2 linked regions of the Cricetulus griseus genome follow. The protein of the gene in region 1 purifies or fractionates together with the protein of each later gene. This does not show direct contact. Links are inferred from orthologs where the notes say so. Each region holds a gene or a part of one and is shown on either strand. Other genes may lie near its edges.

Evidence for each region.
Region 2: the proteins of Sclt1 (region 1) and Kiz purify together in Homo sapiens (co-immunoprecipitation; 3 studies listed by BioGRID and IntAct, counting the BioPlex papers as one, with this or other methods). This does not show direct contact. The link is inferred for Cricetulus griseus from reciprocal best matches to the Homo sapiens genes SCLT1 and KIZ.

The regions. Positions count from the first base shown.
Region 1 is NW_023276806.1:108,279,823-108,284,300, forward strand, and holds the start of Sclt1 (sodium channel and clathrin linker 1), read left to right. Parts: upstream 1-1,544; 5' UTR 1,545-1,966; coding exon 1,967-2,000; intron 2,001-2,004; exon of another isoform or gene 2,005-2,019; coding exon of another isoform or gene 2,020-2,035; intron 2,036-4,478. UniProt on the Homo sapiens protein: Adapter protein that links SCN10A to clathrin. Regulates SCN10A channel activity, possibly by promoting channel internalization.
Region 2 is NC_048599.1:32,106,481-32,110,297, reverse strand, and holds part of Kiz (centrosomal protein kizuna), read left to right. Parts: intron 1-2,350; coding exon 2,351-2,972; intron 2,973-3,817. UniProt on the Homo sapiens protein: Centrosomal protein required for establishing a robust mitotic centrosome architecture that can endure the forces that converge on the centrosomes during spindle formation. Required for stabilizing the expanded pericentriolar material around the centriole.

The sequences.
Region 1 (4,478 bases):
TTTTTCCATGTATATTTTATTAATGCTGAGTATAATAAGTATTAAATTTATAGCTACTTAGCCAATTCCAACTTACATTACAATACAGCATTCAAATGTAGGGAACTCTCTTTGAGGGGAGTCAGTAGAAGTTTCATTAGAAAGTATTCTACACTGAAGAGGTGGAGCTTGCACAATCAGTGTAACTTAATGTTAAGCTTATGGGCACTAAAAACCAGACCAGGTTGAATCTCCACTTATTCAAAGCTAATTTAAACTTTTGTACAGCTATTACAGACATATAGACATTTTAAAGCTAGTTTTTAGAGGAACAAAGCTAACACTGTTTATGCTAGATTATGGGTACAGGGTTACAAAACTTAAGTTGTTGAACAGAAAGTCCAACAGAACTTCATCTAGAACATACTTGCATTTTGTTTTGTTTTTGTGTGTGTCCCTGTGGGAGAGTGTTCACTCCTGTGTATGGGCTGAGGTTGAGGTGGGGTGTCATTCTCAAATGCTGTTCACATTTTCTTAACTTTTTTATCACCAGGTATTTTCTCACAGAAAAATAAATCTTATTAACATACCTGAACTTTTGAGACAGTGTCTCACTGACCCTGAAATTTTCCAGTTTGTTTAGGCTCCTGGCCAGAGAGCACCCATTTCCCCTCAACCTTTTGTCTGCACCTCCCCAGTACTGGCTCACAGGGCCCTGTCTGGCTTTTTATGTGTGCTGGGAATCCCAAATCAGGCGAGCCATCTCAGGACCAGGACATGTTTAGTGAAACTTTATTTCAATGTGTAAATATATAATCAATTTAAAAGGCTCTAAAAAGCCAGTGATAAACTACTAGTGAACTTTTTTTTATTTTTTGCTAATGTCGTTTTCTCCAGTATTTTTGTATATGTGTATTTGTGTGTTTTAAGCTCTACGGCTCAAATTCACACACCACCACTTCTTAAAACTGGGAATGGTAATTTATCTATCAATACAAGTTTTATTTATTTATTGCAAAATTTTATCCTTCCTTAGATTTGAAGTACCTGCAGGGTTTGCAGGCTAGCCTAAAACCTGACTACGTGACCGGCTTAAATATTCAACAACAGCTCTCTTTCCTAGGAGCAGGAGGGTCACTTCTTCCAGACCCAGAAGCGACAGCTCCAAGCTCACTTGAGGGGGGTCTCCGAGTCACCTCACCCCAGGACCCACAGCCCTCCCTGCACACGCCCCACAAACGCATGGTGTCTACGAAACCAAGACTCGGAGAGCAAGGAAAATATGTATCTAGTGCCTGCTCCCGTCAGTCAGTTTTCGGCTGTCTTACAAGAAGATAGAAGGGAAGAAATAAAAAAATTAAATTGCGCCACACTACCTCAGACACCCGCCGCGGCACTGCGGAAGGCGCCAAGAGGGCAACTCGGCCCCCAGCGCGCTTAGGGCTCCGCCCAGCGCCTGACAGACAACCAATCACCTGCCGCAGCCTGAGGCAGCGCGATGACGAAGGTACCGACGCCCGCGTGATGACGGACGCGGCGTCACCGTCTCCAAGGAACGGCCCGGGGCACCGCTTTCAAAGTCGCAGGGCGGGCCGAGTGGACTCCGCGGCGGCTCGGGCTTCCCCGCGGTCCTGGCGTCGCCCCTCAGCCCCGCGGTGACGCCGCGGCCGAGCCGTCGCGTCCCAGGGTCGCCCTCCCTCCGGCCGGCCGCGCGCCGCCCCGCTGCCCCTTCCCCCGCCCGGGTCCGGCCGAGCGGAGTCTGACGCGCGTCGCCTGGCTTCGGCGGAGCTGCGGGCCGGGCTGCGCCGCCGCGTGAGTCGGATGCTGATGCCTCCGCGCCGGGGTTCCCGTGCCCTGGGGAGCCCTTAGCTTTTTGTTTGCCTCCTCAGCGGGAGGCTGTTTTTGTTTATTTGTTAAAAAAAAAATATCTTACTCCCCCTGCGAGGAATCGGTAAAGGTGATGAAAACTCCAAACTAAAATATCGAAATGGCCACAGAATCCGACTTACTGAGAGACCCACGTAAGCGCCCTATGCCCTGATGGAAAAATTCATCTGTAAGATGCAATGTCGCTGTCGTTGACCTACTAATATGTTTTGGTTGTGGTTGGGTCCCAGCGTGGAAATATGTGGAAAACTTAAGTCCGCTTCACAGAATGCTTGGTGATGTACATGAGATTATGTATGTACTTAGCGAAGCAGAACCGCTGGTAAATACTCGTAGATTCCTTAAGCGTGCATCGGAGGCAGCTAGACACGAAATAGGTTTGTTATGCTTCTCTTGTGCTCAGAGAAACTCGAGGGCTGATGGGCCAGGGAGAGTTTCCAAATCTGCAGTTGAGGACCTGCAGGCACTGCTCTGGTCATTAGTTTAATAGATATTTGTTGAGCTACTGTTTTATTACGTGTCAGGTGCTGTACAAACATAGATGGTGTAGGGATGGAGATTTTCTTGTTCTCCCAGCGTGTAATTGGCGGAGGGAGATACATAAATCCCATAAATACACTGACGCGGCAACTGCTGAATCGTTCGCCTCAGTTACCAAGTAGAGTTGATGGAATTATTGAGTAAACATCGAGGTATAAAGGAGAATAGCATCTGACATATGGTGCTAAACAAACATTGACTATTACACAGTGATTAAATCATGGCCAGAGGAAGATGCCATTTGGACAGAAACTTGACGTATCGATATGTTTACTGATAAGAATGGTGTAGGTATCCCACATATTTGCAACATTGAAGGGACTGGAAGTATGCGTTGTTTACAGACAGCAAGGTTGCCTTGAACAGAATTATAGAGGTTTATTAAGGATTACAGTTCAGTTAGCTACAGCCATCATAGGTAAGAAATAACCTAAGGAGGATGTAGAGATATGAAAACAAGGAGAGAACAACAGGGAAGGTTGGGGAAACATGCTGAGCCCTGTATTGGAAGCATCATAGACCAGAGGTTAAGGACATAATCTCTAAATTTGTTTCTGTAAGAATATTGTCTAGCTCTCACACTTCCTAAGTTTGATCTTGGGTAAAATTCTTAGCTTCCTGTGCCTCTGATTTTGTTTTCATTTGTTTTTCACTTTTGAGTGAAGAACACCCTAACTCTATGTTGTTGTGGTACTTAATTGGGATGATACAAATGAAGCCCTTAGCACGGTAATTAGTACCTGTTAAATGCCCTGTGTACGCCCTGTCTCTGTCTCTCTCTCTCTTTCTCTACACACACACACACACACACACACACACACACACACACACACACACACACAAAATCACTGCACTACAACAATAATGTTATTGCTTAGGTTTGAAGTGAGGAAAACCTCACTGCATAAAGACGAGTAACTAGCCACAATCTCAGTTTTGCTTGGTGGAGGGTTATCTGAATTTTAGAAGATGCATTTTGGAAAAATAAAGCAACCATAATTCTTAGATTAAAAATTGATTTCCAAATACCAGCAAACCCTAAGTAAGACAATGTATTTTCATTGAAAACTGAATGGTAAAAGACAAGTAGAGCAGAAGAAGTTGTCAAATACACAGCAAAGCCTTGAAATCTGTGTATTCAGGAAAAGGGAGGATGGAATTGTAAGGTTGGTATGAAGAGATGAAAACTTCATGTTCCAGTTAAAGCTGTGGGTTGCCCTAGCCATACCACCTCACTGCCTGCTGAAATACAGATGAATGTCGTCCATCCTCCGTCTGTCTGCCTCTCATGTTCTCTATATTCATTGACTTCTGTCAGTCTTACTTCTCACAGGCTCCATTTGTTTTTTGTTGTTGTTTTGAGAAGATCTGGCCATAGATTTTTCTGTGTAGCCCAGATTGGCCTCAAACAAAATACAATAAATCTTTAATTTTTTTTTAAAAAAATCCATAAGATTATATCTTTATATCTTCAGGTTACCGGAGGGTTTCTTTGACAGATTGGATTTTTAGTAAAGAAAATGATATGTTAATAAACATGAGTACTGCATGATACCACCAATGTCTCCAGAAATTACAAAAGCAACTGGTTAGTGCATTTGCATATTTATGGTGCATTTGTTTATAAAATATACACAAAAGAAAACAAGCCAAGTGCAACATTGCAAAGTGAAAAATTCTTGTAATACAATTCAGGTTGAGAAATGGGAATAGCTAGAACCCAAAAAGTCTTGTCCCTCCCTCTTCCTCAAAGATAGTGAAAGATAACCACTGTCTTTAATTTTATTCCTTAATTTAGTTTTTAAAAAGATCATGAACCACATATTCTTTTGTGCTTCATTCATGTTTTTTAATTTGTCTGTATCATCACATATAGATAGAATTTTAATTACAGATACACTTGACAGATTTAATGAATCATATATCTATTATTTTGATAGATATCTGAGATGGTTCTGGCTAGTGGGGTCACTAGGAGTAGTACTGTTGCTTTTGGGGGTTTTTTTGTTTGTGTTCTTTTTTTTTTTTTTTTTTTTTGGTCATGGTTCTTGTGCTCAGTTACACAAATTTTA
Region 2 (3,817 bases), on another chromosome or scaffold:
TGCCTCTACCTCCCAACTTCTGGGCTTACAGGTGTGCCTGGTGTCAGTCCTTTAATTTATTTATCCTTATAATGCTCTCTGTTTGGACATTATTTTCATATTTAAAATCTTCCTTCTTCTCCCTCTCTCTTCCCCTCCCAGCCTCCCCTGCACCTCCCACTTTTCAGATCCATCTCAATAAACATACCTACTGGCTTCAGAGTAATTCATTTGGGTGCCTGAAAAGTCAGCCTCTGAGTGTTGGAATACTCTAGTTCTTTGGACATGATTTTTTAAAAAAAACTTATTTAGCTAATTATAGCTAATTTAATGCCTCTATCTAGTCATTTTAATACCTGGACTTCCTCAGAGATAGTTTTTACTGATTGTATATGCTCACTGTCTATTTGAGACAATGTTTATTATTTCATTTCATTTTTAAATAATTAAATGTGGCAGTTCTGGAATCTCTGCCCTCCAAGAATTTGTTGTTAATTTCTGTTTGTTTATCCATTTTGTGGCTTAGTTATGTGAATGTGTATTATTTTTCATGTGAGGTCACTGAGATTCCTATTAAATTTACTTAATAACCGTCAGCTTTCTTTAATGTCTGGGACTAGGATTCTCATTGCCTTTGCTAAGAGGTTCTAAGTATGTTGGGCTATACCTTGTCCTTTATTTCTTGCTTTGAGCCTCAAAGCAAGCTTGAGGTGAGAGCTCAGGCATTTACTTCCTGAAGTGTCAGTTGAGTGTTCCCACAGCCCAGAGCATGTAGGTGGTCATCTAGATTTCCAGGAGTATACTAGAACCTTCCAGAGTCCCTGACCCCCACAGGCAGCTCTTTGACCAACTTTCCCTTTAAAATGTGTGTAGCCTTTTATTTATTCTAAGTTCTGTCTACTGCCTTAGGCAGCTTCCTCATTAAACAACTGCTTCTGATAATTTTCAGCAAACTTGGCTTGGGAACAAGGCTATTTATTAGCTTCAAGCTAGTTCAAGTCAAAACAGTCTTTTGTGTGCAGTCCTCCAAGGAGCTACCAGATAGTCCACTGATGACTGTTGTCTGGAAATAGGGCCCTTGAAAGAATCCTGCCCGCCTCCCTAGTCCTTTTCAAGGGACTGATTGGCTGGTTTTTGCAGTGACTATGGGTTGTTGTCAACTTGGCCAGCACCTGGCAGCCCAGAAACTTGTCCTTTTCAAGATCTACCTGGTTCTCTTAAGTCAATGCACCCCAGATTCCTAGAAAGCTGATTAAGTCCCAGGGTCTGAAGAGATTTTCGGGATTGTAAACTCTGTTGCCAGCAGAGACTGTTTAGTGCTCTTTAGCCCATCGCCTTTCTCTGACATCCTTGATTTGTTGACTTCAGAATTGGACATGGGTTGTGGTTTTTGTTTCATTATTCCAGGGTTAGAAGAGACAATGTTTGAAGAGATAGATATATGGCCTGGATTCTGTTGTCTCTGACATTTCTGGTCTTGGAAATTGGATGCTGGTAATTCTATGTATAGAGGAAGGGTGTGGATGCATTTGCATTTCCCCATCTGCAGTGTAAGGAAGTGAGCGCTCTCCTGACTGTGGGAGTGCTCTGGTCCTTTGGGGAGAAAAGCACTTAGCTTCTGGAAGGCTTCATGCTTGCTACTTGTAGTTCTGCTTGGTACCATGCACCCCTGTTTAAGCTGGTTCTTTGCTCAGCTTTGCCTATCTTCTCTCCTTTTTCCCTACCCTTCAAAGATGAGGCTTAGGTTTCCTATAACCATGCTAGTTAATTAAAATTACTTAAAAGTTCCTTAACGATGTCCAGGAAATCTTTATGTTAATTTGATTACAATTTAGGAGTATTCTGTGCTTTAATACCATTATGAATGTGACTGCTTGAAGTTTTTATTTTATACATAGCACTAGAATAGAGCTGAACCCTTTCATTGTTTGACCTCTGTATTTCCCTGGCTTGCTTTTTTGTTTTCTTTTTATTCTTTTGTCAAGTCCCTTTATAGTGGTGCTAACTGAGCTCTGTATAGAGTGCTTTTAGAACTCACCACTTTTCAGGGAATGTCACTGGGGTAAAAGATGCATAATCTAAAATGTACTGATTTCATTTTATTTTAGTCGTGCACGTCAGCTGGATTAATTGCATGCATTTCATTTTTCAGAAAAGAATTCCATAGTTCTTTAGCAGTAGTTGTTTTGTACAGTGACACTGTTACCACAATAATAATCTGGACTGTAGTAGAGTTTGCCAATTCATTAAGTGGGAAGACATGTTTTATTGGTGGTAGGTGTTGATTTCCATGGTTATGCTTCCTTTACCAACTTTTCTTTCTACTTAATTGTTCATAAGCAATGTGTTTAACTCACACCTCTTTTTGCAGGTAGGAATTAACTCACGGACAGCCATGTCAAGAGGATTGTATCAACCAGCAACAATCTTTATGGGCCGCCAGATGTCAGCCATCTCAAGCATTGATGATTTCAGCACAGAGCAGAGATCTAAGCAACCCACAAAGAACTGTTCAATTCCTGACCCACATTCACACCAGCAGACAGCCCAGAGCAGCCGTGTGACAGACAGCTGTGTAGTACAAACTAATAGTGACACACAGTGCTTAAATAAGTCTGACAAAATAGATGGAAAGACATCTCTTCAGATTGTTGAGAAAACACCCGTCACAAGCCATGCTTTGTCTGAGGAAGAACAAACTCATTGCTGGGAGATAGGGAGCAGCACACGTCACAGCAAGAGTAATTTATCTGAAGGCAGGAAGTCTGCTGAACTCCATTCCTCGTTACAGGAAAGATTAAGTCCAGAGAACAGAACCACTGATTTAAAGTGTGACAGTTCCAGCAGATCAGAGGGATCAGGTGGAGAAATACTGACACAAGAACATACTGAAGTCAGGGAAGAAAGAGCCAGCCTGCCGGTGCCCACGCTATCAGTTTCAGAACACTGTGCATCTGTTGGAGAGAAGCATTCTGCTTGGAAAGGTTTCTCAGGTGAGATGAGAGCATGAGTTTGTTTGCTGATTTTTCTTAGTGCCTAGCTTTCCTGGTCGTGATCTATAATTTTATCTCTTTGTCTAAAAACAAAGAGATATTGATTTCTTCAACATGTGCAAGGAAATGTTTCAAAAGATGAATTCACTGATTTTTAAAGTCATATGTTTAAAAGTGTTTAAAATATTTTTGAGGACTCAATGGTAGATGTGTACTTATCATATAGGAGGCCCTGGGTTTGTTTGATCCTCAGTACCACTAAATATATATGTATATGTATATATGTTTGTTTGTTTGTTTTGTTTTGTTATTTTGTTTTGTTTTGTTTTTTCGAGACAGGGTTTCTCTGTGGCTTTGGAGGCTGTCCTGGAACTAGCTCTTGTAGACCAGGCTGGTCTGGAACTCACAGAGATCCTCCTGACTCTACCTCCCAAGTGCTGGGATTAAAGGCATGCACCACCAACACCCAGCAAAGTTTATATATATTTTTTAAAAAAATAAATTTTTAAAAGATTTCAGTACTGTAATTGTAATGGTTTCTATGCTTTTAATGCATTTGTATGTGTGCATATGAGCATATTTATCTTGGAGGGTACATGTGTGTGCATGGAGAGAAGCCAGAGGACAAGTATAGGTGTCAACTCAAGAAAGGCTACCTACTTCCTTTTGAGACGAGGCTTCTCATTGGCCTGGATTTCACCAGTTTGTCTAAACTGACCAGCCAGTGAACCACAAGAATGCCCTGTCTCTGCCTCCCCGGCACTGGGGTTATAATCACACCATTAGCCTGCATCTGTATATGCATGCAGGGCATTGAACTCATGTCTTCATGCTTCTGAGGCAAG